Drosophila melanogaster: one gene and its partner. The gene in region 2 interacts genetically with the main gene of each other region. Each region holds a gene or a part of one and is shown on either strand. Other genes may lie near its edges. The genes, in order: S and rho-4.

Region 1 (15,224 bases), on a different chromosome or scaffold from region 2:
GGGTGAACAGCCAAGCCAGTGCGTCGGCAATTTAATCAACTTTCCCATTCCCTTTGACAGGTGCCAATCAAAAGCTCGACACGTTCTGCGGATCCCCTCCGTATGCGGCGCCCGAGCTCTTCTCCGATGACCACTACATAGGGGCGCCCGTGGATGTTTGGGCCCTGGGCATCCTGCTCTACTTCATGGTGGTCGGAAACATGCCCTTCCGGGCACCAACGATTCCCGGCCTGAAAGCAGCCATCCTGAAGGGTGACTATCTGCTGCCCGGCCAGCTCAGCTTGCCCTGCATAAGACTTATACGTGAGTGGATAAATATTAAATAATAAAAAAACTGCTTTAACCTAATATCTTCGTTAGAACGCATCTTGATTCATATACCCGCCCAGCGGCCAACCATCGACGACATGCTGAACAGCCAGTTCGTGACCTGTCCCAAGCTCAGTGCCGATCTGATGCAGTGGGAGATCAACCAGCACACCAAGCCGGTCAAGAGGTCCATCTTCTGGGTGCGCAGCAAGTCGCATCGGCTGCGGAAGTCCGCCTCACTACGGGATCGATACGCGGAGGTGGTCAAGAAGCCGGCCATTAGCATGAACACCAGGCAGCAGGACGAGATGTTTGTGCAGAACTTCCTGCAACCGATCGAGATGGGACACGAACTGTTGGTCCCGGTGTCAAGTCAGCTGAAGGAGCCACAGTCCACCGAGCAGGCGAAGCGTCCAACCAGAAGGTACATGTTCTGCGGCAGCCTGAAGAAGAAGGTCACGCCCATGGAAACGGAACCGGAGAAGCAGCTGGCCAACGGTGGACAGTCAATCGGTTCGGCCAAGATCAATCCGTGGAATGTGGAGGTGGCCGAGGATTGCCCCCTGTTCAAGAACTACGACGCGGAGACGGGCAGCTGCGTCATGCTGCCCACGAACACCGAGGATCTGAGCCAGCTAGGTGCCCTGGAGTTCGAGGCACGCCAGATCCTGGCCGAGCTGGGCCTCACCTCCGAGATGCTGATCAACGCCAGGCAGAGCGGGCCGCGCTCCGACATCATTGGCGCCTACAGGATCGTGGTCAATCGGTTGCAGAAGCAGTCCTGGCTGGCACGAAAGCACGTGGAGATGGCACTGCACAGCGAGCCCAAGGTGGAGAAGCGGATTGAGAGGTCGTGCTGCATACTCTAAGACATCCGAAAATAGTTGTTGAATGTTCATATTACTCTCCTGGTTCCGCTGGGTCTTTGAGTTCCCCGAGAGGAAAGGCAAACTGGGTGTGTCGCTTTTGAAAGGAATCTAAGGTTCAAGGAACTCAAATAGTAGCTCAAAAACCTTTCCTACTAGAGGCTAGTCCGTTTCGATCAGCTTTAAATATCCAGTGCTTGATTTTGAACCAACAAATTGAGATTAGAAAATTTTATAGTGAATACAACATAGAATTTAACCAGAATATCGAGAATTAGGATGGATGAATTGCAAAAGTTAAATGCATTCGAAGCGCAAGAAACATAAGTCGCTTGAATATGAATAGAAAGGATTATCTTCCGATAGTAGGAGACAGTTGGATACTCTGATCTGCAAATCCCAGTTTGCCTTTCTGCGGGAATCAGCCCGGAAGGCCAAAGGTCAAGCCCAATTAGTGTCAATTCGCCAGCTGCGTAGCCGCGTGTTTGTTGTTAACGTAGATTCCTGCATCCTCATCCTGGTTACTCATTCGAGAAAGTTCCTTGGTTCGTGTAGCTTGAGTTTGTCCAGCCGTTGAGTCCAGAGGCGGATGGCAAAGTTGATATATACATACATACATATATATATACATATATAGATATATACATATAGTCCAAGTATTATGTATTTAGTTGTTGGTCCATTTTTGAGCATATACAGACGAATATACGAAAGGAAAATGAATATTACGATTACAAACATATAAATACACACCGGGCTAAGGCGATTGCCTCGATCTCATCGAGTCTTCAATGTACAACGTTGCATAAAAATGTTTAATTGATCATCAAAAAGCGGTATGTGTCCGTAAGTGTCGCTCTGTGTGTGTGTGTTTTGCCAAATTGTCTCCCGTGGAGTCAATCGCGTACAATAAAGCAGCATTATGAATCGCTAAGAACCGCATTCGTACAAATCGTAAACATACTAAAATCTAAATCTCAACCACTCGTCTAATTATGCACTTTAGCCTTAGTTTATTGCATTCGCAGCATCCGCAGGGGCTCGACCTCCCGGCCCACTCTCTTTCTCCTCATTGGGTGCTCCACTTTCGCCTGGCTGGGCTTCATCTGCTCTGGTGCGGCGCAGGCGCAGGCGCTCCGCCGGCGACCTCTCAAATGACGGCTCTCTCACTGGGCTTTTTGCCGCTGCCAATGGCGCCGCTACAGCCGGCGTCGCTGTCCCTGCCGCTCTCTTCTGGAAAATGGAGTGAATTTATTGAGTGAAATCGGAGTGAAATTTCGGACTGTTGATTCAGATTACAAGCTGTGAAGTTATAAATAATGGTCTTAATGGTCAGCTTCAACAGAACCAACTTACCAACTATGGCAAAAGAGTCCGAATCCGAGGTGCCCGCAGGCCAATCGATGTCCGGCATGGTGGGCCAGTCGATGTCCTCCGTGGTGTCCCAATCGACCGCGCGGGTTTGACTGATCTCGAAGAGCGCAGGCGAGCAGAGGCTGAGCACCTCCTCCTTCAACTTGGTTAACAGGGACTCGAAACTATCACTGGTCTTGCAGAGGAAACAAACCGCCAGCGAGGGGTCCATGGCGGAGAAGTTCAGGCGAGCAGCATGCTTTTGATGGTAGGTCTCGTCGTAGTCCTGTTCTGCCGCAGCAGTTTTCTGTGCCACGGCGCCCGTTCTCTGCGTGGTATGAGGATCTAGGTAGAGAACCTCATCGTCCACATAGCCCAGGAAGTACAGAGCCTGGTTTGGTCGACCTCCGATCATGCCACAACTGCTGTCTAGTTCAAGGCAGCGCTTTAAGGCAGGCACGTAAAGCGGGTTAATGTCTGTGATGCCCAGGCGCAGGGGGATTATGAGCAGCAGTGGCTTCCACGAGCCTCCTTCTCGGCACGACGCATCTACAAAGTGGACAATGTTGTTAGGCAAATAGTCGGGCTATTTAGGCCATTTTCCACACTTACATACGTCATCCAATACCACTGTGCTATCCATGGCCACGTGAATCGCCAGGGAGCTCCAGTCATCGAAGCGCACTAGTTTTCTGAAATCAGCAATTGATTATACCACTTATCCACCATGTTAGGCCAATGGTCTTACTTGAGAATCTGGGCTACTGTATTCGGTCCCAGCCACTCGCCGACCGCTTTGTTCTGGGACTCTCCCATCTGGGCAATCTGGTGTATGGAGTAGAAGCTATTCCTTACGTCTTCAAAACGGTTCACGATCTTGAGGTAGGTGGCATCACGGCAGTCCGGCGTCCAGAACCAGTCGCGTCCCAAATGTAAGTCGATCAGGGCCTGGGCGAGAACCATCTGACCACAGCGCAGCATGCAGCCCCAGCCCTTGTCCGTGGTGAGCTGGACTTCTCCCAACGGCGAAAATCCATGGCGATATGTGCACCACAGGCGCGACTGAATGTCCCGTCGGATGAGCTCTAGCTCTGAAAAGGGATAGGGTGTTGATTATGGATTTCAGTTTGGTATCCATCGATGATAATCGAAAAAAGGTTTGGGAAACCCCTTATGACTCATGCTGACCAATATGCTAGATTTGTACCCATATGACAGCATTAAATAAGGTCTCATCTTACCCTGTATGGCGTTGTACTTCTTTCCCAGGACCCAGACGTCGGTGTTTCTTCGGGGAATGTCCTCCGGCTCTCCGCTGCCCACCGCCTGGCCAACTGCACTAGCGAGGACGCTGTCTGGGCCCAAGTACGCCTCGAAGACGCTCTCCATGATCCGCGCTAGCTGGTCGCTGAGTCCAACCAGCATCTACTGCCCGGTGCGCTGGCAGAAGGAGAAGGGGGTGGACACCAGGGCCTCCGCTGCTCGTCTATACGATAATTGCCTTCGAATGACGTTCTGTTTTTCGGGTGGGCCTTTGTTTTGGCCTGTGTTTTCGCTGGCAGCAACGGCAATGCTCCTGCTTCTGGCCCGAGGTCACAGGGGTTTCATTTGTTGTTGGCAGTGACGGGCGCTGATTACAAACTATGCGATAACCAGCATTTGATCAGTCTGCGGCTGGTTTAGTTTGATTTATTTTTCTTTTTTGTTGATTACAACGCAGTGACGTAGCTGTTAGTATGACCGCAACTGATAAGGTATTTTACTTTGCCAAAATACCGAACCTTGCACTTAACATGACCATAACATAGGAAATAACAGTATTTTTCCAAACTGTTAATGAAATGCATTCAAAAATGAAGTTTTTTAAAAAATATTTAATTTTTTTCTTATTTTACGCAAAGTATAGATTTGTAACAATGTAAAAACTTCAAAATTGCACGTGCGGGACTTCAAACTAGCTACGCTACCTTGAGTGCGCAGAATTTGTTGTTCAGATCGAAGAAGTCGTTTTCTGGATCGGCATCCTCGACCATTTCCGCATTGGGATCCGCGATGGCCTCCCTTAGCTCCACTTTCCTAGCCGCCTGACGCTGCTTCTTCAATCGCTTCTTCTGCAGGGCCTTTGCCGCCGTCGGATCCACCTCCAATCGCTTCCAAGTTGGTATAAACTCCGCGCACCAGTCGTACAAGTAGCAATAGAAATCGAACATCAACTTGGAGTCGGGCAGCAGGAAGTTCTCAACATGGTAGCGGACATCGGCACGATTCCTCAGTACATCATACATGTTGTAGAGAAAGGCGCCGCAATAAAGCTGGTTCATCCTCGGACTCAAAAGTGGAAAATCCAAAAGAGAATTTAGCCCATTGAGTTGGTAAACCACAGCCTGAAATTCAGCAAATGCGTGGATAACCGTGGTGGAGTACAAGTCAAACTTCTTTTTGAAGATCTCCTGCATATGGAAGTGCGGCAGTAGGCGTTCCTGAGTTAAATAGCAGTCCGATTTGGGTACATGAGCCATCCGATCTGGAACAGAAAGCTCTAGCAGAGCAGGTTTGATGCCGCGCTTAATTCCCTCGGCAGCTTCCTTATCCCTCACTGCTCGCTCTGCTTTCAATGTCTTGCCAAATCTTTTAAGGAAGGTTTTCACCTCTCGTTCAGCAGGGATTGTAACATCTATGGTTCGTAGGACAACCAAACTAAGGATCAGCGAGTGAAGATGCAGCAAATCACAGTGCTCCGAGCGATGTAACCAGTAGATAATGGCCAGAAAGTACAGCCTCAGGTCCTCCGGCAACTGGTCGAGCTTGCTGAACAACTTCTCCGTATCCGCATTGGGAGCATTGTCTTCGAATACAGCTCTTAAATGCCTAGCATCCGGCGAAAGAGGATCAAACGGATAGGCAGGCTTCTTTTCAATGGGCATCTTGAAATACCTCACGTTCGTCACTCGCAGAGCTCTGGTGAGGTAGGTGAGATAGGGGACTGTCGAACCCTCTATATCCATATCCACTTCTAATGGTAGCTCAATTTTCTCACACTCTACGTGATGGAGAAGAGCGAACACGTAGTTCAGGATGGGTAAGGCCACTTCATTGGAGTCGTGGAAGGGAAAGTGCTCGATCTGTGGGTTGTTGATGTACTTGCGCAGGTGCATAAGGTCCACGAAGCTGCGGGGCAGGTGCGCGGGATATAGTTTGTCCAGAAACCATTGTGGGAAGAGTAGCGTTTTGTCTTCCACTTCCAGCTCGAGGCCTTCATCCGCCTCCTCTTCTTCTTCATCACCCGAATCAACGTCTTGATTTTCTTCCTGCTGCTCCTCATCTTGGTTATCAGCTTCCTCCTGATCCTCGCCTTCTTCGACATCTGAAAATTTTTCATCGGAGCTAGACGAATGTTCATCGTCGCTGCATTCCTCTTCACTGACGGGTTCTATATAAGGAAAAGCATTCTCGTAGTGCTCATCGAAGTAATCGTAGGCGTGGCACAACTCGTTGGAGTAACCAGAGATGGCTGCATTCACTTGGGAGACCAGGGAATCACGCTGGTTCTGCAAGAATATTATTTTTAGCATAAATCGGAAAAAGATATCTCAAGCAACGAACCTTTTTCAGTCTCGACAGCACTTTAGCCAGAGCAGATTCCGCCGTTTCCTCCTTCAGCCATGTGAGGATGACCTGTATGCGCTTCTGCTGGAGCTTTAGTTTGCGACTTCGTCCTGCTTTGCCCATTCCCGCAGCAAAAAAGTTCTTGAAGGCACTGCGGGCAATATAGTCATTGCCCAGGAGGGCGGCAAAAAGGGGTAGCTTCTCGGGACTCAGAGTTCCTCGTCCGCAGAGATGGGACACCCGGTAGATGCAGCAGTCGAGGTACTTGTAGGTCTTGGAACTGCCTTTTGTACTGGCTGTCAGCCCTGTGGTTTGAATGCCAGTCACAATCTTGTTGGCCCTGGTGCGCTTCTTCACATTCTTGGCCTCGCAGTGACGTAGATCTCGACTGTCCTTCTGGTTGCTGCTGTTCTTGTCCTTCACCTGCTTGGTGAGAACCTGGGGTACATGGAATCGCTTAGTATATGCTGGAATCCAAATAACTTATGCCTTACCTTAACAGTCAGCGTGATCAGCGGGATGTACTTGACGTTGTGGATGTAGAAATCCGAGTCGTAGGAGAGCACTGGGCAGTTAAGTTTCCTGGCCAGAGCAGCCAACTCGTCGTCCGCCTCAAAGACGCACCTCATCACCGGGACTCCGCAGTCGCGCACAGCGTCCACGAAAACCTCCTTGAGGTGCAGCGGGAACAGCGTGATGGATGCATTGGGGTTTATCTTCTTGATCACGGAAATCTTGTTGCGCAGCCGGGTGCTAACGGTCCTCAGCTTGCGCTCCTCGTACCCGCCGTCCATGAGCACATAGGGCCGAATGTTGCACTCGGCCAGAACCTGGAAGAACTGCACCACGGCGCGGTAGAAGTCGTCGTAGTCGCCGCCGAAGGCGGAGTAGCTCCCGGTGACATCCTTGTACAGATTGCAGCTCAAGTTGTCGCCATCGATGACCAGCGCCGTGGAGTGCAGCTCGTGCGGCTTAAGGTAGATCTCCGCGCGCTGCGCTATGTAACTGGTCAGGCCGCGGACTCCCATTTTCCCGGCGCTTGCCTATTTTCCCAATTTTCTATTTACCTATTTTGCACAAACTTTAAAAGCGTGCTAATAGTGATGTCAGTTTGCAGTGCGATACTATCGATGTACATATCGATTCTTTAGCGTGGCCGTTCGCTGCCGTTTGGTATATATGAGCGATTAGTTTGGTATCTAGGGTATTTCCCGCAGCCGGATGGTATATTCCGGGGATGGCGCCGCGGTCACACTCTGTCCCGACAATTCCAACCCGACGCTTGTCTGCTCTCCACCCGCGCATCAAACGTCGAAAAATCGTAACGTCGCGAGTGCTACGCGGTGGCCAGGAGAAAAATTCGCCAGCAATAGCAACACTTGTACCGAAAATCTAAAGGAAACTGGGAAATGTACTAGCACAAACACAGCGAGTGCAGTGGAAACCGAAATCGCCATTGAATCGAAGAGCGCGTGCATATATACGGGTTCCGTTGGTTCCGTTCCGTTTCTTGTCGCTTTTCTTGCACACACTTTACCACTTTACCTTTGCGTCTCTCGTTTCGTGCGTGCGTGTGTGTGTGCGCGGAGTGTGGTGTGCGTGCGTGTGTGTTGTTTTTGTGTGTTCGTTTAACTAAAGCACAGGTAGAAGGAAAAGCAGCGGAAAAAAGAAAACCATGGGCGAAATATGCATATGAAATTAAGTAAATACAAGGCGACAGCAGCAGAAAACATCCAGTAGCAACGAGAAACAACAACAACAATAACACACGTTAATAACTCAGCTTTGTGCGTCTTTCGTCTGCGCTTCACATAGTATTATTTTTCTCTTGGATTTTCCACACAAAAACACCATGAGTGAGCGAGCGAGAGCGACGATCGTGATCACCGTGTCGTGAATGAATTTTTGTCAGTGTGTGCGAGGCGTGCTCTACGCACACACACACGTACGTAAACAACACAACCACACACGGCCCATCATCGATCACCAATCACCTGTGTGTGTGTGTGCGGCATTTAATAAATAATTGTGTGCAAATAAATGTTCCAAAAGGAAATTGTTAAGCCAAACCAGCAAAAAACGTAAATCAACCGTGCGATAATTCGTCCTAGAGTTGAAAAAAAAAGACGGTTCAAAAGCAAGTGCGTGTGTGCAGAGTTCTTCTGGTGTCTTGGGAGCTTCGTTTTACGGATACGAAACATATATAACTTCCCTCTTTGCCGAAAAAGGTGAGTTCAAAATCAGGGAAAAATCCCTTTCCCATTGGCCAAGGCCGTTCCGGGAAATCTGCGAGTGGTCTTGGCCCACGTTTCCTGTCTTCCGCACATTTTCACACGTCCTGCAATTGCAATTTTTTCCGATTTCCCAACTCTGCACCTCCTGTATGTTCGGCGATTCCCACGCCTCTTTTTTTCGGGGCAGGTATTCGCAGGTAGCGGAAAGAGGAAAAACCCTCGGGAAAGCCGATAAACTAGAGAAAACCTCTGTTGGTGGGCCGAAAAAACCAGAAAAAATAGAAGAATTGAAATGTTTTCCCTGGCTGCTGAAACAGAGAAAATCGGGCGAAATTAGGCACCCGCTGATTCCAGAAAATTGCTCGTATAATAGAAACATCTCACTGGGGGAGAAATAAATTATCGTTATTATCATCTGCAGTTGCAATTTGGCACAATTTCGATATGACTGTGCTCCCATTTGCCCGGCGATTATGTAATTTTCGCCGCTGTGCTCGAGAATCAGGTTCATTTTCCATATGAAAAAGGGGGCTTTGCTGCAGACATTGCATATATGCCGACGATCTGGCGACCACCGACAGTTGCCAGCAATTTCCGGCGCTTTTTGGCAACTGGAAATCGAGCACAAAAGTTCATCCCAGGGCTTAGAGAGCCGCAAAAGGCGTAGCCATCCATATTCACCCCATCCCAAACGCATTTCCCAATGTGGTTTATAGTTTTCCTACAGCTGTTGCGACTGCGATTTTAACGATTTTTACTGGTAATCCGGGGAGGAAGTGAAGTTCATAGCGGTTCGACCAGTTGATACCTCTTAATAAACTGTTTGTAGGGCATTTCTGAAAAGGAAATATTCCAAAGCGAGATTTGGTTAGTCTCAATCCTTAGAACAGCATTGCTCACTTCCTTACACAAGTGCATACTACCCTCGCATACCCTGTAATCAGTGGGCACCATAAAAAGAGTTTGAATTTCAAATAAAATCCACTCTCCGGCACACACACAAGTCCACTGGGGAGCAGCTGCTGTGTGTCTCTTTGTGCTTGGTCTCAAATGACACTTGCCAGCGCTGCTGCTGCATATAATTCCGAGTTCTGGGGAATTTCCTAGTAGGAAGTGCAGGGGCCACAGCGAAAACACCAGCAAGAGTCGCACTTGATGATTGTCTTGCCACGGCTATTGCCGTCCCACTCTGGAAACGTAAATAGAGAGGCCCGATAAAGAGCGGTCTCGAACTTCCCCCAGTTGTGTTGCCTCTAACCCAACTGAAACTGAGTGGAATCGAGGTTTTCTGGCGGCATAAAATTTGATAGCAATTAAGATATTTGTTAGAACTGTTTCTAATGTCACATGTGCTGCGTGTAGGAGTCTCATCCTGCACTATCTTGTTTTTCGCACTTGCCCCGTTCCCATTTCCCGGCTGGTACTCCAGTTACTTGCCGCAATTGACCAATTAAACAATTGTCTTTGATTAAATGTGCAAATTTGTCTAATGTTCTGCACTGCGCGTATGTGCAAAGCGGATGTGCCCGCTTAAAGCTGCGCTTAAATTGCCCGCGTAATTTGTCACTGATCTCACTTTCTCAATTGGCGATCTCTGATTTCTGAGATTCCTGATCTCTGCCTGGCCAATTAGGCGTCATTATGCGGCAGGCAAGAAGGCACCGTTAGATGGAGCCATTGCAACAGTGGCCAGAATAATAACAGCGACTAGGAAATAATGGCTAATGGCCTATACCTTTGCCCATCTAATGCTTCTTGACCTACAAGCCTCCACAGGCCTCTCGCGTTTCCTGCCCGCTTTCATTTACTGTTAATTATTGTTTAGAAAAGCGCGGGGGCGGGGGCCAATAATAATAAGAAGAAGAAAAAGCAGCAGCATTGGCCAATAAAAGCTTGCAAACAATTTCGAATTTCCAAATGGTTTGAAATGCAGCCCAGCTGGCAACAGAGGAAAAGAGGCAGCCAAATCAACCGAAAGGCAACACGGGGCCATAACAACAATCTTGCTCGCACATTCATAATAGGCGAAACAGAGGCGGCCAAAAAAGTAGGACTGTTTCGTACAAAAATATATAGTAGGATCTTAACGAAATGTAGTTTTCATAGGATCAAATGATAATGTACTGTGTTTATTCGCAACTGAAAAATACAAAATATTCTGACCAACTGTATTTTTAGATAACAGCAATATTTGTAACTACTCTATTATTCCGAGCCCTACTGTACGCATACACACACACACACACAGAATCAACAAATAAAGTAATTATTTCCTTTCACATGGCGAGCTACCTCCAAAATCGGAAAGACATAAAGAAGAATATAAAAAGCGGAGAAGCCCCAAGACCCAAAAATAAAATCCAACAAAATCCGCTGTCGGCGTCGATTCCTTTGTTGTTGTTTTGCTGCAGCGGTCCCAACACGTGCAATTGGGAGCGAGCGAGAGGGGGAGAGTAGGAGCGAAAAGAAACTAATAGGCCAGTAGTACGAATCGCAGAGGAGTGAGCAGTGCAGTGGCAATTTTGCATCGATCTCCCACTCAATGGGCAAAAAACGGAGCTCGAAGTTGTGAGTGACATGTGTGAGTGAGGCTCGAAGTGAATGAATGGCACAATCTGTGATTGATTCATGCACAACTAGATGACTAAATTCGCTTTCGGCCCATTCTTTCATATCCGTTAGCTGGCCACTCCTTTTGTCCAAGTTTGGTCAACCAAGTTGGCTCGCTCTTTTGCCATTTAATTGATTCATCCACACCAGCAGATATCTGAAATCTGAATCGATCCCAAAATGACACCCAATTTCACTGTTCTGTGAATGAATACGGTTTTTTTTATCACGTGTATGTGGGTGCGAGTGCGCCATCGTCTTACGTTGTAATTTCGCGACTCTATGTCCGTCCTTGTCTGTTGCTAATAAATCAAGACCCATGTTCATTTTGCAACGGCTTTGGATACCCTACAGTGGGTTGCTTCGTTTTGTCAGACTCAACAATAATTGCAAATGGTTTTCTGTGGTTATTTACAATTATGGCTATAAACCTCATTAAAAGTCTTGAAAGCTGCTTAAATTGATAATTACAGTTCCAAAGAAGTAATCACTCATATTCATTGTATCATCATTTGGAAACATCAGTCATTGCAAACACATCAGTCATATCAGTGTCGAGGGTAATCCGCATTCGATGCAACGCTTTTGCCTCTTGTGTTCGCTAGTTTTTGCCATTTATGCAGCTACCGTGGGGCGCTTACGTCATTGGCCGGCTTGGTACATATTTGGCCATGTTTTACTGTTGTCAATTGGATGCTATTTGTGGGCTAAATTTCTCGCTGGCGTCAACACAAAATATTGAAAGTAGGCAGCTCGGATTGAGTTGAGTCATTATCTTTTCTTTTCTCGAGTTGTGAAATTTGCTCCCGAATACCTCGGATGCGCAAGTACATATGTATGTACATACATATGTGCCGACTGTTCTACACATTTTCTCAATTAATAATTTCGAGCATTCAGTTGGAGGGAGAGGTGCCCATACATACATATCTACATACATATATAGCCCATATATCATTGCCAAGATCATCTATTGGCCTCTCTATAGCTGCGTCTATAGCGACACAATGTGTCTGAGCGAAATCCGTTTGGCATTTATTTACTTGTCTGTCTTCTGTTTGGCCAGTTTCATTGGAAAATTCACTTTTCGCTAAACAATTTCCATAAATGCAATAAATTTATACAAATAGCCCTGTTAATGGATCGCATCGATCTGCTTTACAAAGGTATTCGGAGCATTGTTTTGATTTGCCTACGCCAATGCAGCCAATTCGAAATAAATCGAGCCACATTCATGAATGAAATAATGAATGGGAATGGTGTTATGAACTTAAGATCGAATGCGGTCTACTTTTTCGCCTTTTTGCGGTTGGTGGTCTTGTGGTCTGTGACGTCAGGTGATAATATAGTTAATGATAATCAGTGAATCTTTTTGAAGGGATTTTACCTCATTAAATTTTAGTGGCAAAATTGCTTTATGGATTAAGTGATTCTTAGTACGATTAACGGCTCGTAATGCTTTTCATCATCGACCTGGAAAATTTCCAGAACTTAAGGTCTGGCATCTGGTAAATGGAAAATGATCAATGCCGAAACTTCTTACAAACCTTACGCATTCTATGAAATATTTATAAAATTCTCCCCTAAAATAGAGCTGAGCTGGCATTATTAACCTGCGGAATCCACATTCAGCGGAATAGATCCCACTCATCATATCGTTATCCAGCGCAAACAGCTGACTAACCCGGCGATCGCCGAGGGGTCCCAACTACATGGACGTGGATCCCGACCGAATGCCTGTGGGTGGTGCAGCTTTTCATAGCCACCTACACTAACTCACTGCGCCAATATTTACACAACATTGATGGACATATACAGCGTGTTTACCTACTTTGTAGGTGCTTCGGTTTCGGTGCCCCTTGTTATGCGTACAAACATACCCCTAGCCTAGCCCTATGTACCCCATAGATCGGGCTATTTACTTGCGTATTATTCTGCCGCTATTTATAACTGGCGTACTAATTTGTAATTTGTTTAATGATTCACTTAGCGAACTTTATGAAGTGTGGGAACTGGAGTTGTGAGCCCTGTATCTACGGGCACTGCTATCCACAAGCCACAATCTTGCAACTGCAGCACTTGGCTTGTTGGCCCAACTCGTTAGTCGCGATAAGATTGTTTCCGAGAAGTCCATAAAGAATATTAGCTTTGATTTGTGTTTAGCATTGCCCCGATCTATCAGCGTTACCTGTTGTGGGGGCTTATAACACAAACCATTTCCATCTATTTTGGCTCTTCATCCTCCGCGAGGTGTAAACAACTTCTGGCCGGGATCTTCGCCGCCTTCAATAAACAACTAATTTCAATGGGCTATACACAAATTAATTCGCAATTTGCTGATGAGCATCTCTGCCCGACTTCTGGAATTGTCTCGGCATTTTGGGGTAAAGAGATAAAAGCAGACAGTACAGCCTTAGGATTCCCAGACACTTTTCTTATCGATTACATCAAAGTGCTGGTTATTCTCGGGGCTTTAAAAAACCAGTTCTCATTTCTCAGTTCTCAGTTCCCTCTTTGAAAAAGGTAAAGCCGAGTGAAAACCACAATAATAATTCCCATAATTATAACAATGAACCGCACAGATACAGAAATCCGACCAAAAAAAGAGATATCCAAGTGTCGCCGTCCCCAAAACAACAACAAATAAAGCGACCAAGAGGCAGAAGAAGAGGAAGACGAAGAGCAAGAGGTGGACGAAGAAGAATCACAGTGTGGTTGCTTTGAAATACAAACTTTTGTGGTTACAAGTTTTTTCTAGACCACAACACAGCAAAGGCTGTTTCTTCTGTCTTTCGCTCAATGGCAAAGCCAAAGAAGTTGTGGCTGCCAAAACAAAAACAAAAACAAAACAGAAAACGGAAAAAATAACCAAGAAGAACCAGAGATGGATGGTTGGTTGGATGGATGGATGGCGAAGGTGTGTTGTGTAGGAAATGATACGGATACCGGGCGAAATAAAGTCGGAAGAAGTCTTCAGCACAACGAAAATAAAAGCTGGGAACAGTGGCGTAGGCGGTGGGGTAAGATCAGGGGTAAGATAAACAAAATGCACTGCTATTTTCACAGTTCGAAGTTTTGTACTCCCGCTGGAGATGGAGGAACACCCCCTAGATTGAAATGTACAGAAGCCACTGTTCGCGAAGACAGTTTCAAAGTTTTCCCAGTTTTGTCATGGTTGTTATTATACTCTTCTTTCCCCGCTCTTCTCGGTTGGCGGTGGTAAAACTTTAACAACTTCTTAAGAGTTGGGGAGGGGCCCCCAAAATCAAGTTCCAGGCAAGATAACCGAACAGAACTCGCCTCCAATCACATAAATACGACAATGACGCGGCACAAACGACATTTAAATGTGCCCAAAGTTAGTTGGAAAAGTGTTTTAGGCTGGGAAATGTGCCGTTAGTACAGTTTAAGTTCAATTAAAAGAGTCGTCGCCATTTTGCTGCCTCAACTTCAATTTCAATTATGCAGCCAGTCAGTTTCGCTCCAGAAAGGCCCGTAAAAATGTGTCATGGCTGGCAGTTGAACTAAATTACCGCCAACCGAAGCTAACTCGTCTCTTAGTTCTTGTTCTGCTCGCTAGTGCACTGAGAATAATATCGAGGGATTTGTAAAGTTAAAGATACGAGGTTAATGCAATAGGTTGCATACGAGGTTGCAATACAAGTTGTTCAATCAGAAAAGGCAAATAAATTTTATTGTTATCTTAAAATATTTGAAATATGTTATTTTCTTTTTTTTTCTGTGCACTCAATCAGTCGACGTGTCGCACCACCTGATGATGAGTGGCTCGGCCGTAATTTGTTGGCTTCCTGCTGCCGCCTGCAACAAGCCGCTGCACATGCACCGCTTGGCTACACTCCGCTCCAGTGCCCCTTCCGCGGAACCCAGTTCCTCCCTTCTGTGCACGCCCCATCGTCTGGGTTCAATGCGCCACAGGCTCGGACCCACATCAACCATTATCCTGCTACGTCTCACACACGAGCCAAACATTGATAAGGCAAATCCATCATTTTTGGCGAATTAAGGTGCCACCCGGTGGCAGACACCGCCCGAGGCACCTGTCATTGGCTCCACTAATTACCGCCAACCCACTCCGTCGCTTGACCAAAGTTGAACGCCTTGAACGCACGTGCCCCTGCCGATTTCCCACTACACAAGTAGTATATTACTTTATGTATATGGATTACGAGCGGGTTGCGAAAATGGAGTTTTGTTTTATTTGATTTTGCCCGGCTTATTTAGCTTC
Region 2 (18,332 bases):
CACGGTTAGCTGAACAATCCGGTGCAGATTTAATAAGCGTCGCATCCACACACACACTTACTTGCAACGCAAGTTCGCGATACGCCGAAGAAGCGGCAAAGCATAGGCTGAAAACACAGTAACAAAGCGAAACGGTCCGAAAGAGTGATAGTAAATTTAACTTAAACGAGAAAAACTGTGTACTTTGTGCCGGCGAAAGTGCAAGAACCCGCTATTCAGTTTTTTCGTATGTGTGCGTCAGGTTTCCTCTCGATCAACAATTGTGGCGATCAAAGCAGAAACGTAAAGAAAACAAACCGCGAAGCCGCGCAACCCTGACACTCGCATAAATTTACATGTGTGTGTGTGTGTGTGTGAGTTGTGTGCAGATTAACCGGCAGAATTCGTTTATTGTAAAGTATTGTATTAAAAAGGGCTAACTCTGATTAGAATTTACATCGCATACTTTTTAAATTAAATGACTTGACAATAAAACGTCGGTTGTGGAAAAAGTGACAACCCAGGTCTTCAGGGTCAATATTTTTGACAGACGAAATTCCATTGAATTGTTTGCCTATCGGTTCCATAAGTGATCACTATTAATGTTTTATGAGAACATATACAACATATATCTAGAAACTTAGCTTATTTTTTTGCACATCGATTCCAGAGCGACATGGATGTGCCCGATGACAATTTTGGGCCGTCAAAGCCGTGTGACAAGCAGCCCTTAGCTGGCAACTCTAGCAGCGCTACCAATTCATCGTCGCATACCGGTGGTAACGGTAACGTTGATTCCGCATTCGAATCATCTACAGCTGCAGGACCTAGTTCCGGCGCCAATCAAAGTAGCACAGGCGGTGCTATAGATGAACAAGGTTCCATTGGTGAACAGAGTGCCGGCGTGGGACAAAACATTATTGAGGGCGACTTGCTGGTGTTAAATGCCAATTCCACAAACGTGGATCTTTCGACTCACCGGGATGGCTCTAGCTTTAAAGACTCGAACACTGAGCAGGGAAAAAAAAGTAAGCATAAATAAATAACCAGCATCTGTAGCATAATAACACATCTCATCTAAACCCACTTAGGTACTATGATTAAGACTTCAAAGACATTAAATGACAAGAGTCAATTTGAACGCCGCAGACGCCGTGGCCGTCAACGTGAACGTCATCGTGAGCCCAGCACGCATCGTGACGATCTTGAACCGTGCGATTTAGGTCTAATGGGATGGACTGGAGAATTCCCAAAGCTAACACCCATATCCAACATCGAAAGCAACTCGGATAAAGAACCGCTGGTGAGTAGAGGGGATGGCGATGCTGTCCAGGACACGAGCTGGCCTGCTGCTGTCTGTTCAAGCTTATAGAACATACCTCTGTATACTCATGTTCAATCCACAAATGGGCTAATTTGAATATCCCTTTCGGTCGGTATTTATTCACAAATACACATAATTAATCAATATAATTTGAGTATAAGTTTATTTTAAAACTTATACTCAAATTACTTTTACCTGTAAAGTAAACTTATGTAAACATAAAAATATTGTAAATAATCTTGGGACGGAAATTTGCATAAATCGAAAGAACTTAAGGTTATTAGATCCCCATAAACTGTTTTTTGACTATTTTTCCAATCAAACTTGGTAACTGGTATACAGAGGTCTATGTTGTGCGGACATCGTTTTGTTTGTTCTATATTATTGTATTTCTCAACACGAAATCGTATCTGTGCTTATCTCAAATCTCAACCAAACAATACACAACATGCACACTACGGCAATAGTCGACGGCCAAGCCAGGTGTACTGCCATGGAGTGGCCTAAAGGTTTTTCCGAGAGTGGAACCACAAGAGGAGACAGCGGCAGGTACAACAAAGCCGGCTCATATCACTAATAAGTCTGAGGAGCAGCAGCAGCAGCCGTCTCTAACAACGCCGATAATGACGTCGCCACTCGACGCCTCCCAGGGGGAATTGGATGCAGCCATTAAAAGCCCTTTGAACGCAAAAAAAAGTCCAAATGCAACTGGTATTGCAACAACATCCAAGTCCAGTACAACACCAACCAACATGCAACCATCAGACTTATACAACCAGGTGGAGACCCTTAAAAAATCTTATGCTAAGAGTCGGAAATTTCACAGATTTACTAACCATTGATCTTCTCTCCCTCTTGTATCTTCCCCCATAGGTTGAAGATAAAAAAGAGGATACCACCAAGAAGCAGGCGGAAGCTGATCATACCTTGCACAAATCACTTAAGGACGCTCGCATCGTAAAACGTTCTATGTCCACCCATTCGCCTCCGGAGCATTCGCGTCGTTCAGTGCGCTTCAGTAGCCATACGCCTCTGACCGATGAGACGAACATAATGAAAGAAACATCCACCGAAACCTCTTTGAAAGTTATTTTCGAACGCCTAAAGCAAACTGGCGTAGAGCGAGATCTCTTTATACCCAGCTCCGAAAATCCCAGGCCTCGCAGCAATGGTAGCCCGGTCCCAAAGGTGGCGGAGATGGAACATGTGGCGGTTGTGAAGTGCAAAACGGTGGCGAAGCAAGGGGCGGTGGTGAAAGGCAAGGCTGGGTTGGCCAACCCGTCCAACGTAATGCCCCAGACGCCTGCCTTAACGGTCACTGGAAAGCGAGTGTCGAAGCCCAAGGTGCCCAAAGGGGCAAGTCCACCGAGTGAGGGCTGGACCTCGACCAGGGCGGTTAAGGGGAATTCTCGGGCAGACTACACCAACAGCAGCTCGTGCGGTTCACCGATTGGTAATACCAACATTCGCAGGCGCAGGTAGATATATTGTATATATATACACATATCAATCTCTATATACTCGGTATTTTCATGTCCAGAGCTCACGCAAAGGCAGCCCCTGATAAGTCAAAGCCTTGTGTGCGCTGCGCGGCTTCTGTTCATCCGTCTGGACCTAAGTTGTGCAAGGTAATTTACGAAATGCTATTGGAGATTCACTGGCTTATAATATCCTCTTTCAGAAGTGTATCTATGAGAAGGGATATGCCAATAAGAAATGGATGAAAAAGACTGGAGGAAATGAGGATCATTATGATGATGACGATGACAGTGACTTCAGCATGATAGAAGTCACTTTGGAAAATGAAATATCCGTTCAACAGGCGGAGAAAAAGCAGTTAGAAAACGTGAATAAGCAGACCGTTATAAAGGAACAAGAGGTTGTTGTAATTGGAGGGCGCAAGGCTATAGCCATCATAGCCGATCCGATTGGTTGCAATCTGAAAGTGTGAGTCGGTTTAGTTCCAAGACCAACGCAAAAAACCTACGAAACGCACAGTTATTTATATGTTTTTCCTCAACTTATCAGGATTCCAAACCGGCAGAATTTGGCTGGCCTTAAAAAGATCTCAAAGGACAAATGTAGCTCCAGTTTGGTGCAGAGCCTGGGCGATTGTCACATCGGATGCCAGATAGTGATGGCCGTTATGAAAATCATGACGATGAAGGTAAAATGTCTAGGTCATCGTAAAATTGAAGTTCGTAATCCCATCCCATCCCATATAGGATCGTGTAAATATGGCGCAGGTTTGCAAAACATGGGCCATGATCAGTCAGGATAAGAGTGTATGGCGCACAGTCATGCTACGCGATACCCATATCAGCAACTGGCCGCGATTTATCCGTGAACTCGCAAATAATTGCACACGCGAACTGGACATGCTGGGCGTGATATTGCCGAATCCTCCGGATATTCTCGCTACACTCGACATTAGCGTCCTGAAAGCATTGCGTGTTCTTCGCACTTGTCCAGTAGATGACCAGTTCCTCTTTAAGGTCTTTCGTGAATTGCCCCAACTGCTGGAGCTAAGGGCAATCTGCTACAGTCCAACTTTTAATTTTTTAAATTTGGCACGACAATGGTCTAAGATTCGCGTGCTTCAAATCTTAATGACGGACCACAGAAGCAAAGTGGAATCACTAGACTCTCTGGGCGACCTGGTGCATCTAACTGAGTTGAATATACGTGGAGTGAATTATATAGGCTCGCAGGACTTCCGCTTCTTGAAGAAACTAGTTAACCTGAAGGTGCTAGTGTTGTCTTCATGCCAGGGCATGGATACCGAGGAATTTGGCCAGCAAGTGCTGCCCTTTTTAACGTCTCTACGCAGGCTCCGCTTGGAGAACAAGCACATGATCAATACCACTTTTCCGCTGTACCACATTATGTGTGGTGTAGCCGCTGCTTGTTCGGTACAGCAACTGGAGCTGGTGAACGTCGAGGTGGATGACCTTCTAACTTCGTTGATTGGAATGTGCACCACTGTTACGCACCTGTTGCTCGTCCCAAAGTGTCTTCAAAATTCGGCCAACGTGATCTATTCCGTAATGCGGGCCGTTCGCGAGAATGCCTCGCAGCTTCGCGTGTTCCGCCTAGGATTGGTTACCCAGCTGTTGAGTGCAACGGGTGAGCTGTACAGGGGAAGTAAGAAGGATGTGATCCCCGTGGAGCGCCCTGTACCGGGAATTCCGCTGGACGATGACCTTAATTATTGTGCTCCCGATGACCGTTGCATTGAAACGGACCACACGGAATGCGTTACCTTTCTGCCCGCCAAGCGCTTGCTGATGATACTGCGCGATGTGGCACCAACAACATTTGTTACGTTTGTTAAGGTGAACATGTTCAACAGCACCATGGTTACCTTCCTCAAACGGCCACAGTTGAAAAACAAGTAAGAACGTTTAACGCACTAGTTATTCCTAGGTGCCATAAGTTAGCTCATATATAAGCCCTCCCAGTAGCAGAGAATGCCAAGACTGAGTCTTCTCGAGAAGCATCACCTCCGAACACCACATTTAAACACACTCTCAACAATATCTTTGAACGACATTCAGTACATTACTTTGTCCCAAGCTGTGAACGATGCAATCAAGCGACGCTGCTTACAAATTGACAGCTTGTAATGAACAGAAAAGAAAAACATGTAAACATAATAAATAAATGGGTTAATTGCTGGATCATACTAAATCGACTTAAACCACTGTTTTGGGAAGTGAACTATAAATTTCACTATAAAAATATAGTACTTATGTAAGATTGCGTGTAAGTAGTTCTGCCTGGTCTTGCTGGTCCTACGAAGGCAAGATCAAAGTTGTACTCATTACATTTGAACATGAATGACACAATTAAAAAAATAAAAATCATACGCAAAACACCCATCTTCTTCGTACAAAGACATTGTTTTTATTACATTTAAATATATAAGATCTTAATAATAAATCTCCAAAAATATACAGTACACTTTGTTTAAAGATATTTCTCGTTTTTCTTGAAAAAAAAAAAATGTCAACGAAATGTGTAATACAAATGCAGCTCTGAGTTTTGTTCTCCGTCGACATTTCGTTGCGCCGCGTCGCGTCATGTGGATCGAGAATACATATAGTAAAATAATTTTTGCTTTTGAGTCGAATAAATGATCCGTATTTGAACCGAAATGAATAAAAACTTCGAATGAATTCGCTTTGCGTTTTTATTGATTGAATATCAGCTTAAGACTGAAACAAATGGTGTGAGAAAATCTTAAATGTACTTGGTTAGTGGGTTGTTTACTTGATCTGCGCGAGAGCGCTTCTTGCTTATGCTTTTGTGCATACATATGAAAAAGAATTCTTATGTGCTACGTGGCTATGTATGTGCCTGCCTAGTGTCTGGGTTTTGGTTACGGCTTAAGTGGATGCGCAATATCGAGTAACAAGGAATCGATACGGCGGACCACCGCGGTCGGTCTTTTGTATAAGAGAATTATGAGGAAGGCATAATTACGTTACTATATATGTATGTATGTATATAAATATATAAAAATACGTACGACATGCTTGCACCACTTTCGGATTGGGAATGAAGCTGACATGGCAAGTTGTAAAAAAATAAATTATTTTTGCAGCTGGCATAGGCACATGGTCAGAAGAAATCCTATATATAGTACTGTGCGTACTGCAACCTCGGCTCAATATCGAAGTGCACTTTGGACATGGTTAAGGGTTAGGGCTAGGGCTAGAGCTAGTGATGGGGCTAGTTGTACTCCTGTTTTGGGAAGTAGTCGGGAACAAACACGTGTATGATGATGCCAGTGGTCATGAGGGCAAAGTAAACGATGACGGCGACCCACCAGAGAATGCGCTCCCATCGCCGCACCTCCAAATTGCGCAGCACACCGATCCCCACCAGCAAACCGGCGACGGCACCGGACAAATGCGCCACATAGCCAATCTGATCGTGCTGGTCGGTCAAGTGGCGGTACACCGAGGTACCCAAGTCGGTGAAGCAGAAGACCAGAAAGGCCAGCAGCTGGACAATGGCGTACTCCATTTCCGAGTAGTTCTGTTTGGCGACCATAAGGTAATTATGGAATAATATCAAATAGTATAACAAAGACTTACCATAATTATCGTGGCAATGTGGGCTGTGATCAGTGCGTATACTCCACCCGATGCGCCCGCTAGAAAGATGCGAGGACTGGTTAGCGAGGTGCCCATGGAACCGGCTAACACGCCAGCCAGGTAGACCAGACCCACGCGCCACCAGTGATGCACCAGCTCCAGGGCGATGCCCAGAAAGATCTGGATAATCAGGTTCATCATCAGATGCATGATGCCCACGTGAACGAACATGTAGCTAACAAAGCGCCATCCCTCATAGCGCTTGTACGGATTGTAGATGAACAGGGTGGCCGCTGGTCCACTTGTGCTCTCGCCTATGCGATCCTGGTAGTTGGGATCGTCCCTGAACATAGCAGATTACTAGTGTTATTATCATATACAACCAATTGTACCATCACTACTCACTGGAAATGTATGACGTCCACGAGGAACATGATTATCTCGATAATCGAGAAGAGCACCATGGTGAGCGGCGGCGGGCAGATGGACATTTGCTTCTCGTAGGCACCGTCGGGCTCATCGCCCTCTAAGGGCTTCGGTGGCGGCACAACGTAGCGACAGTAGCGGGTCAGCATGTTGCGCACCATCCACTTGTGGCGCAGGGACATCGCATAGAATTCCTCGAAGTCCAGGTGGCCGTCGTTATCCTGATCGCTGCGCTTCAGGATCTGGTCGGCGATGTAGGCGGGAATGTCCCGGCAATAGCCATCCGAGATCAGTTCCTTCAGCTCGTGCGTGTTGATCAGCCCATCTCTGTCAGAGTCGTGCTGTGTGAGAGGCATATACATATGGTTGGTTAGTCATCATGATTAAGCTCACACATAGAATCTGGGTAAGTCAACATTTAAACACAGTAGGCCATATACTAAAGCGTCATGGGGGTTCGAAAACATTAGGGATTCGAACACTCAGTACCTAGCTGAAATTCCGAGTGGTCGGGCAGGCCCGCACCGAATCCAAAAAATCTTGAAATACAACATCTTGGAAACACCGATTACAATTGGGTACATATCAGCGCATTCATCCTACCTTTTAAAACTAGGCTGTAATAAAAATAAACTACTGAATACATTTCCCTAGAAGGAAGTAAAGAAACTACCATTTGCTTGGTGTCATCGGTTAATGACATAATTATTTAGTATAAACCATACATATATTATATATATTTGTATCTTCGCCTCAAGATTCAACCGAGAACGATGTCGCAACTGATGGAGATGACCCGCCACGTGACCTCTTGGCTTGGCTGGACACCGACGCCCACATGCGACGTCGCGGAGGAGGAGGAGCCGCTGCAGGAATCGTCCGGCATTGTGACCGTACTGGTTCTCTACCTGGGCATGGCCGGCATCTTTGCGGCCCTGAGTCTCTGCACCACGACCAGCGACGACCAGGTGCGGGCCCGGGCCAAGCGGGAACTGATGGCCATGGAGCGCCGCCAGTTGCAGCGTCTGGAGCGGCAGGGCAGGGCAACGGGGTTAACTCTGCTGCCAAACTGGACGACCGCCATGCCATCGCTTATTCGCGAAGTGGCTGCTCCTAGGCCTTCAGTCATTCAACTGGAAGAGCAGCGCTTGCGGATGCGTCTGCTCCAGCTAACGGATCAGAAGGAGCAGGAGGAGCACGATTCCCAGGATTGGCACGATGCTGTGGATGCGCCAGAGGAGGAGCAGGCCACCAGTTGCCTCGCCCCCAAGAGCCAAAATTCCACTTTCTTTGACCTTCCCTTAGACTCCGAATGAATCTCATTCACCCGAGGAACTATTCTAAATCATAGCGTAACACACTCAAACCTGCAGCATGAGTTCACAAATAAACAAGTACCCACATATTATTATGTTTGTTGAGTGATTTTCCTCCTTTTTGATTGCATCACCATCAGCACTTGCAACACAGCCGCGAACGCTGTCGGACCAAAAAGTGGCCATAAATGGGCAGGAATAAATGCCACAGATCGAGACGAGAAACTAGAAATCCAAAACGGGGCTAATCGAAAACAAATCGAAACAAAGTCACATGAAGTTGCACAAAGGCATCCAAAGTTATTGTGAACTAAACGCAACTGATGGTTTTTGCAAAACGTCAATAATCCCCATTGGTAAATACAAAAGGATTTTGCTAAAAAAAAAACATTTGTCACCTATTCCTTTCAGAAGTTCGAAATTCTCAATTGCCATTTCGCCAATAGAAAGTCCCTATATGGATGTTACTGTCTTATCGCTTTGTATTCTCGGTTTTCGATCATAAAAAACATTTGTCATAGGTAAGCTATGCGCACTGACCTTTTAAGTATGGTTAAGGTATTTAGTAAAGTAAATAACTAGGAACTGGGATAACAAAGAAAACCCAGCGAAAAGTCAACGCTCGCACTTAAAAGTTAGATTCACGCAAAAAAAAAGAGGAAAGACATTGGCATATACTATAGACAATTAGATAGGTGCCCATGTATGTACATGCACATAAATATGTATCCTCCTTTCCAGTCGTAAACTAATATTTTACACCTTTAGGTGTTCTTAAAATAAAACAGAACAGGGGGAAAAAACAAAACCAAAAAGTTGGTTATTATCAAAACCAGGCGATAAGCTGCCAGCGGTAACGGAGTCTCGCGGGGATTGGGACTTAGTCATAGTCGTCAAGTGTGTTCGGAACACACGAAAGCCACTTGGTCAGTTTGTAAAAAATATGGTTTTCGGAAAAAGTTAATTGTAAAACCATTGGAACACCTGAAGTTCCAAAACTTTCCTATATTAGCCAACAGACAACTTAAGATTTACTCTTTTGCACAGCTCAATGAATAAAAATATCAACGAAAATGGTCATCTATCTGCTATTTTCCCATATCAGAAAGACTGTTATCTGTGACATATCAAACATGATATTTCAAAAATATCAAAATGATACAGTCCCCTCCGGGTTCAAGTTGAACTTTCCAACGAATAATGTTGGTTGAGATTGGTGATTTTTTTTTTTTTGACAAAATATGTTCTATAGCTTGCTATTATTTTGGTTGTTATATCATGGCTAGATTATTGAATCAACGCTCGGAAAACCCAAGCAGAGTATTTTGGCCACTTGAATGTTTGTAGCGAGGGAATTCAGATAAGATTTCCAGCCAAAAGAGAATAGGAATGTGTCTGGAATGCCGATTTCCAGCGGCATCGAATGTGTTTGGATTGGATTGGCAGCTCATCTTGTATGCTAATCGTATGGTTAGAATACCTATATACATACATATATACGTATCTGTCCAAATCAACCAGGAGAGAGTGCTAACTAAACTGGAATCGAAGCGGCCAAAACTGATGGATTCGTAGATAGAATCCCCTTGTTGCCGGGGTACATTGAACGCGATATGAACGCTACACACTCTATATGGCTATAAACAAATGGTGAATCAAGAGGACGTTGCACGTTGAGGCAATCGCACTGGTAGAATTAAAAAAGACGAAATCCACAAATTGTTAAATTGATAATGGTAACACTCGGGCAAACAGGTGGGCGGTGGGTGTCAGTTGGGGGTTAAGTGACTAACGCCACCAAGAATAAAGCAAGAGCAACAACAACAACAAAGGCAGAACTCAAAGCGAACAAACAATAATTTATAACCGGTTTTTCTTCTTCTTTTTTTGCTGGTCTTTTTCCCCCAACCCTCTGTCACGATAAGAAAACTCAGTCCCCCAACAGTAGGCAACCACCCTCCCCCCCATTTTTTTTTGCAGCACACACGATTTTTCTACTTTAAGAAAACAAACTGCAGCGAAAAAAAGCTTATAAAATGTGATACGGAATTCTGCGAAAGTGCAAAATTGACTGACAGACAAGCGGTGATGGGTTAAATACACCGAAAAGTGTAATTATGCTTGTATGATATAAGTACATATAGCAGTTGATTATTTAGGCACTATAATCGAATTCTTAACCCATTAATGTTAAACGGGAATCAAATCTCACGTATTTATTAATCACCACAAGATACAAGGTTTTTTTTTAATAATGTATACCTTAAGTTTGTTCCACTGGCATGTTTGCAAACAAAAGCATCTGATCGTGTCGGTTTTCGCCCGCCGGCCCATTGAAGGGTTAAAGGTGGGGTTTTCTTGGGAGAGTGCGAAGAGTGAAGAGCGCCGCCATAGCGGATCGATGCTCAGATGATTCATCGAACTCAACTTTCACCGAGGGTGAGAAGAAGACGGCAACAGGGCCGACCACACAAGCACAAGCAACTTCATTCACACGCACGTATGAGTGTGTGTGTGTGAGTGCCGCGAAGTGCCGGCTGTGTGTTTTAATTACAGTCGTTCTTCTGTTTTTCGCGAATTTCCCATGCATTAATATGGTGCAATTTCACAAGATCTCAGCATTAACCTTCTGTTGCCTACCACCAGCCAGTTTAAATGGGATAATTAGTCGTAGCTGGTTCTAACTAATGAATTAACCACTATGTGCTCTCCAAAATGACTTGAAAACTAATAGAAATTTATTATTCCCTTACCTAAATCCTACATTTCCTGTATTCTATCCGATAATAATGTGGCATAACTATTAAATCAACGTTAAATCATCATAGATTTACTTTAAAGATATAGTGCTAAGTTGTAACACCGTGTGAACAGTAATACCTTTATAGGTATAGTTACCATGGCTACTACTTGGTTAGCTGGCTCTACAAACCAGAAAAGATCTAATACTTAGGAGGAGCTGCCACTTGTGCTGGGGAAGGGAATTGCGAGTATTATAAGTCCTACATACCTTGTCAAATATCTCGTGCATTTTGCGCCGATCCTCTGGCTCCTGGCTGTTCGTCTGATTGAGCGGTATTTCCTCCATATCGATGGTGTCCTGTCGCAGCGTTTGCGGACGCGAGGGGGGCGATCGTCGCTCGGCCGGAATCGTGGGATAGAGCCCATTCTCGACGTCCCGCTGCTGCTGCAATTGCAGTTGTTGGGCGGGCGTTTGGCTCTGCTGGCGATTCACTGTTTTCACGGGCATTTTTGCGGCCACTTCTTGTTTCGCTTTTCGATGGAATGCGACTGTTTGAATATCGAATTCGGAGAGCGGAAGTGCCGTTACCGTTAGCCAAAAAGTGAAATTACGGTGCTCATTGGCCGCGGTTTGATTTGATTTGCGATAAGATTAAGAGCGGGCCATAAAGCGCGTAGCACCTAAAAACAGCGGAGCGAACTAAAAAAAAAAATAACAACACCAACCGTCTTCTCGCACCAAAGAAACCAAACTGCGCGACTGTACAGTGTGACCAGCTGCCGGAGCAGCACAAGTGGCTCTCTACCCAGAATTTGTGCATAAAAATAATCAAATCCCGCATGCAACCCAATCTGGCAACGCTGAAAGGGAGTTAAATTTGAAAAAAAAAGTTAATGAATATTATTTATTTGGTCACTTTTAATAAGTCATTTATTTGAAAGTTTTTCTTTTTTGACTAGTTTTTTTTGTTTAATACTTTTATAACAATCAATTTGTGCTTTAATTTAAAATGCCAACTTGTTTTGTTAATTTAATATATTATATAATATATCCTAGGTAAGCCTATTTAAAAAATAAATCACATATATAACTGTTTCTTTAAGGATATCCGGCTCCTTTTTTTTTACTCCTACTATAGTTGTAAAATCAAAGTATATGCCACATAAATAACAATCACTATACTATATTCGAATTAAAATGCTATTTAATTAGTAATTGTATCAAGTGTCAAGACAGTTAATTTGAGAAAATCGTTTCCATTTATTTCCCGACCAAATGGGCAGGGATTTGACTTCAATTAGATTCTTGAAGCAACCCAGGCGGGATCTGAAAAATGTGGATTAAGGATTAAGGGTTATTGGGTAAAACGCAAATGAACGTATGTCAACTGACCTGTGCACGGCCAAAATAGAGGCGGTCTTTGAACCGATCCCTGGAATCTCCTGCAATTGCTTAACGTTTCCATTGTTAAGATGGCCCAGTAAACATTTAGTATTATTGGCCATCCAGGCCTTGGGCGCAGGTTTCACTTTTCGCGTGCGTTTCTTTTGGACTGCACTTTGAAGGCGCGTCCCGTTTTCCACAACAACGGAGGTGGCATGTTCCCGGATTCCCGCCAGCCGCGTGCTGCGCCGCAAATTCATAACCTTGGGAATGGCTCTATAGTTCTGCGAACGCATCCTACCCGCTAGACGTACGGAACGACGAAGGCATGGCTGCTGTGGCGAAGCCACTACTGTCTCCTCCATTAGCTGGATGCCGCTAAGTTCTCGCTGAGAACTGGATGCCCGCAGACTGATTTTTTTTCTTTAAAAAATATATTCTATAGCTTGATATTATTTTGGTTGTTATATCATGGCTAGATTAATGAATCAACGCTCGGGAAACCCAAACAGAGTATTTTGATGTTTGAAGCGAGGGAAATCGGATAAGATTTCCAGCCAAAAGAGAGTAGGAATGTGTATGGAATGCCGATTTCCAGCGCCTTGTGTTTGGATTGGATTGGCAGCTTATCTCGTATGCTAATCGTATGATCATACATACCTATATACATATATATATATGAATCTGCCCAAATCAACCAGAAGAGAGTGCTAACTAAACTAGAATCGAAGCGGCCGAAACTGATGGATTCGTAGATAGAATCCCCCTGTTGAGTGAGTGCGAAGAGTGAAGATCGCCGCCATAGCGGATCGATGCTCAGATGATTCATTGAACTCAACTTTCACCGAGGGTGAGAAGAAGACGGCAACAGGGCAGACCACCACAAGCACAAGCAACTTCATTCACACGCACGTATGATTGTGTAGGTGTGAGTGCCGCGAAGTGCCGGCTGAGTGTTTGTTTTTCGCCAATTTCCCATGCATTAATATGGTGCATGAATTAACCACTATGTGCTCTCCAAAATGACTTGAAAACTACTAGAAATTTATTATTCCCTTACCTAAATCCTACATTTCCTGTATTCTATCCGATAATAATGTGGCATATTCCGTCCGAAATCGTGGGATAGAGCCCATTCTCGACGTCCCGCTGCTGATGCAATTGCCGTTGCTGGGTGGGCGTTTGGCTCTGCTGGCGATTCACTGTTTTCACGGTCATTTTTACGGCCACTTCTTGTTTCGCTTTTCGATGGAATGCGACTGTTTGAATATCGAATTCGGAGAGCGGAAGTGCCGTTACCGTTAGCCAAAAAGTGAAATTACGGTGCTCATTGGCCGCGGTTTGATTTGATTTGCGATAAGATTAAGAGCGGGCCATAAAGCGCGTAGCACCTAAAAACAGCGGAGCGAACTAAAAAAAAAATAACAACACCAACCGTCTTCTCGCACCAAAGAAACCAAACTGCGCGACTGTACAGTGTGACCAGCTGCCGGAGCAGCACAAGTGGCCCTCTACCCAGAATTTGTGAATAAAAATAATCAAATCCCGCATGCAACCCAATCTGGCAACGCTGAAAGGGAGTTAAATTTGAAAAAAAAAGTTAATGAATATTATTTATTTGGTCACTTTTAATAAGTCATTTATTTGAAAGTTTTTCTTTTTTGACTAGTTTTTTTTGTTTAATACTTTTATAACAATCAATTTGTGCTTTAATTTAAAATGCCAACTTGTTTTGTTAATTTAATATATTATATAATATATCCTAGGTAAGCCTATTTAAAAAATAAATCACATATATAACTGTTTCTTTAAGGATATCCGGCTCCTTTTTTTTTACTCCTACTATAGTTGTAAAATCAAAGTATATGCCACATAAATAACAATCACTATACTATATTCGAATTAAAATGCTATTTAATTAGTAATTGTATCAAGTGTCAAGACAGTTAATTTGAGAAAATCGTTTCCATTTATTTCCCGACCAAATGGGCAGGGATTTGACTTCAATTAGATTCTTGAAGCAACCCAGGCGGGATCTGAAAAATGTGGATTAAGGATTAAGGGTTATTGGGTAAAACGCAAATGAACGTATGTCAACTGACCTGTGCAAGGCCAAAATAGAGGCGGTCTTTGAACCGATCCCTGGAATCTCCTGCAATTGCTTAACGTTTCCATTGTTAAGATGGCCCAGTAAACATTTAGTATTATTGGCCATCCAGGCCTTGGGCGCAGGTTTCACTTTTCGCGTGCGTTTCTTTTGGACTGCACTTTGAAGGCGCGTCCCGTTTTCCACAACAACGGAGGTGGCATGTTCCCGGATTCCCGCCAGCCGCGTGCTGCGCCGCAAATTCATAACCTTGGGAATGGCTCTATAGTTCTGCGAACGCATCCTACCCGCTAGACGTACGGAACGACGAAGGCATGGCTGCTGTGGCGAAGCCACTACTGTCTCCTCCATTAGCTGGATGCCGCTAAGTTCTCGCTGAGAACTGGATGCCCGCAGACTGATTTTTTTTCTTTAAAAAATATATTCTATAGCTTGATATTATTTTGGTTGTTATATCATGGCTAGATTAATGAATCAACGCTCGGGAAACCCAAACAGAGTATTTTGATGTTTGAAGCGAGGGAAATCGGATAAGATTTCCAGCCAAAAGAGAGTAGGAATGTGTATGGAATGCCGATTTCCAGCGCCTTGTGTTTGGATTGGATTGGCAGCTTATCTCGTATGCTAATCGTATGATCATACATACCTATATACATATATATATATGAATCTGCCCAAATCAACCAGAAGAGAGTGCTAACTAAACTAGAATCGAAGCGGCCGAAACTGATGGATTCGTAGATAGAATCCCCCTGTTGAGTGAGTGCGAAGAGTGAAGATCGCCGCCATAGCGGATCGATGCTCAGATGATTCATCGAACTCAACTTTCACCGAGGGTGAGAAGAAGACGGCAACAGGGCAGACCACCACAAGCACAAGCAACTTCATTCACACGCACGTATGATTGTGTAGGTGTGAGTGCCGCGAAGTGCCGGCTGAGTGTTTGTTTTTCGCCAATTTCCCATGCATTAATATGGTACATGAATTAACCACTATGTGCTCTCCAAAATGACTTGAAAACTACTAGAAATTTATTATTCCCTTACCTAAATCCTACATTTCCTGTATTCTATCCGATAATAATGTGGCATATTCCGTCCGAAATCGTGGGATAGAGCCCATTCTCGACGTCCCGCTGCTGATGCAATTGCCGTTGTTGGGTGGGCGTTTGGCTCTGCTGGCGATTCACTGTTTTCACGGTCATTTTTACGGCCACTTCTTGTTTCGCTTTTCGATGGAATGCGACTGTTTGAATATCGAATTCGGAGAGCGGAAGTGCCGTTACCGTTAGCCAAAAAGTGAAATTACGGTGCTCATTGGCCGCGGTTTGATTTGATTTGCGATAAGATTAAGAGCGGGCCATAAAGCGCGTAGCACCTAAAAACAGCGGAGCGAACTAAAAAAAAAATAACAACACCAACCGTCTTCTCGCACCAAAGAAACCAAACTGCGCGACTGTACAGTGTGACCAGCTGCCGGAGCAGCACAAGTGGCCCTCTACCCAGAATTTGTGAATAAAAATAATCAAATCCCGCATGCAACCCAATCTGGCAACGCTGAAAGGGAGTTAAATTTGAAAAAAAAAGTTAATGAATATTATTTATTTGGTCACTTTTAATAAGTCATTTATTTGAAAGTTTTTCTTTTTTGACTAGTTTTTTTTGTTTAATACTTTTATAACAATCAATTTGTGCTTTAATTTAAAATGCCAACTTGTTTTGTTAATTTAATATATTATATAATATATCCTAGGTAAGCCTATTTAAAAAATAAATCACATATATAACTGTTTCTTTAAGGATATCCGGCTCCTTTTTTTTTACTCCTACTATAGTTGTAAAATCAAAGTATATGCCACATAAATAACAATCACTATACTATATTCGAATTAAAATGCTATTTAATTAGTAATTGTATCAAGTGTCAAGACAGTTAATTTGAGAAAATCGTTTCCATTTATTTCCCGACCAAATGGGCAGGGATTTGACTTCAATTAGATTCTTGAAGCAACCCAGGCGGGATCTGAAAAATGTGGATTAAGGATTAAGGGTTATTGGGTAAAACGCAAATGAACGTATGTCAACTGACCTGTGCACGGCCAAAATAGAGGCGGTCTTTGAACCGATCCCTGGAATCTCCTGCAATTGCTTAACGTTTCCATTGTTAAGATGGCCCAGTAAACATTTAGTATTATTGGCCATCCAGGCCTTGGGCGCAGGTTTCACTTTTCGCGTGCGTTTCTTTTGGACTGCACTTTGAAGGCGCGTCCCGTTTTCCACAACAACGGAGGTGGCATGTTCCCGGATTCCCGCCAGCCGCGTGCTGCGCCGCAAATTCATAACCTTGGGAATGGCTCTATAGTTCTGCGAACGCATCCTACCCGCTAGACGTACGGAACGACGAAGGCATGGCTGCTGTGGCGAAGCCACTACTGTCTCCTCCATTAGCTGGATGCCGCTAAGTTCTCGCTGAGAACTGGATGCCCGCAGACTGATTTTTTTTCTTTAAAAAATATATTCTATAGCTTGATATTATTTTGGTTGTTATATCATGGCTAGATTAATGAATCAACGCTCGGGAAACCCAAACAGAGTATTTTGATGTTTGAAGCGAGGGAAATCGGATAAGATTTCCAGCCAAAAGAGAGTAGGAATGTGTATGGAATGCCGATTTCCAGCGCCTTGTGTTTGGATTGGATTGGCAGCTTATCTCGTATGCTAATCGTATGATCATACATACCTATATACATATATATATATGAATCTGCCCAAATCAACCAGAAGAGAGTGCTAACTAAACTAGAATCGAAGCGGCCGAAACTGATGGATTCGTAGATAGAATCCCCCTGTTGAGTGAGTGCGAAGAGTGAAGATCGCCGCCATAGCGGATCGATGCTCAGATGATTCATCGAACTCAACTTTCACCGAGGGTGAGAAGAAGACGGCAACAGGGCAGACCACCACAAGCACAAGCAACTTCATTCACACGCACGTATGATTGTGTAGGTGTGAGTGCCGCGAAGTGCCGGCTGAGTGTTTGTTTTTCGCCAATTTCCCATGCATTAATATGGTGCATGAATTAACCACTATGTGCTCTCCAAAATGACTTGAAAACTACTAGAAATTTATTATTCCCTTACCTAAATCCTACATTTCCTGTATTCTATCCGATAATAATGTGGCATATTCCGTCCGAAATCGTGGGATAGAGCCCATTCTCGACGTCCCGCTGCTGATGCAATTGCCGTTGCTGGGTGGGCGTTTGGCTCTGCTGGCGATTCACTGTTTTCACGGTCATTTTTACGGCCACTTCTTGTTTCGCTTTTCGATGGAATGCGACTGTTTGAATATCGAATTCGGAGAGCGGAAGTGCCGTTACCGTTAGCCAAAAAGTGAAATTACGGTGCTCATTGGCCGCGGTTTGATTTGATTTGCGATAAGATTAAGAGCGGGCCATAAAGCGCGTAGCACCTAAAAACAGCGGAGCGAACTAAAAAAAAAATAACAACACCAACCGTCTTCTCGCACCAAAGAAACCAAACTGCGCGACTGTACAGTGTGACCAGCTGCCGGAGCAGCACAAGTGGCCCTCTACCCAGAATTTGTGAATAAAAATAATCAAATCCCGCATGCAACCCAATCTGGCAACGCTGAAAGGGAGTTAAATTTGAAAAAAAAAGTTAATGAATATTATTTATTTGGTCACTTTTAATAAGTCATTTATTTGAAAGTTTTTCTTTTTTGACTAGTTTTTTTTGTTTAATACTTTTATAACAATCAATTTGTGCTTTAATTTAAAATGCCAACTTGTTTTGTTAATTTAATATATTATATAATATATCCTAGGTAAGCCTATTTAAAAAATAAATCACATATATAACTGTTTCTTTAAGGATATCCGGCTCCTTTTTTTTTACTCCTACTATAGTTGTAAAATCAAAGTATATGCCACA

Evidence for each region.
Region 1: of rho-4 (region 2) and S, changing one enhances a phenotype caused by changing the other (phenotypic enhancement), as found in Drosophila melanogaster (one study listed by BioGRID).

What each region holds. Positions count from the first base shown.
Region 1 is NT_033779.5:1,069,973-1,085,196, reverse strand, and holds the start of S (star), read left to right. Parts: upstream 1-7,381; 5' UTR 7,382-8,362; intron 8,363-15,224. Other genes in the region: CG4629 (uncharacterized protein), read left to right, coding at 61-303, 361-1,178; Atg4a (Autophagy-related 4a), read right to left, coding at 2,326-2,408, 2,532-3,077, 3,141-3,220, 3,277-3,619, 3,770-3,953; ast (asteroid), read right to left, coding at 4,487-6,076, 6,132-6,572, 6,629-7,162.
Region 2 is NC_004354.4:11,593,152-11,611,483, reverse strand, and holds rho-4 (rhomboid-4), read right to left. Parts: upstream 11,647-18,332; 5' UTR 11,398-11,646; coding exon 11,158-11,397; intron 8,242-11,157; exon of another isoform or gene 8,148-8,241; coding exon of another isoform or gene 7,605-8,147; exon of another isoform or gene 7,590-7,604; intron 7,410-7,589; exon of another isoform or gene 7,290-7,409; intron 7,173-7,289; coding exon 6,811-7,172; intron 6,749-6,810; coding exon 6,406-6,748; intron 6,347-6,405; coding exon 6,038-6,346; 3' UTR 5,196-6,037; downstream 1-5,195. Other genes in the region: CG2247 (uncharacterized protein), read left to right, coding at 656-1,007, 1,071-1,282, 1,771-2,082, 2,177-2,781, 2,844-2,931, 2,985-3,250, 3,332-3,470, 3,529-4,701; CG2533 (uncharacterized protein), read left to right, coding at 7,605-8,147.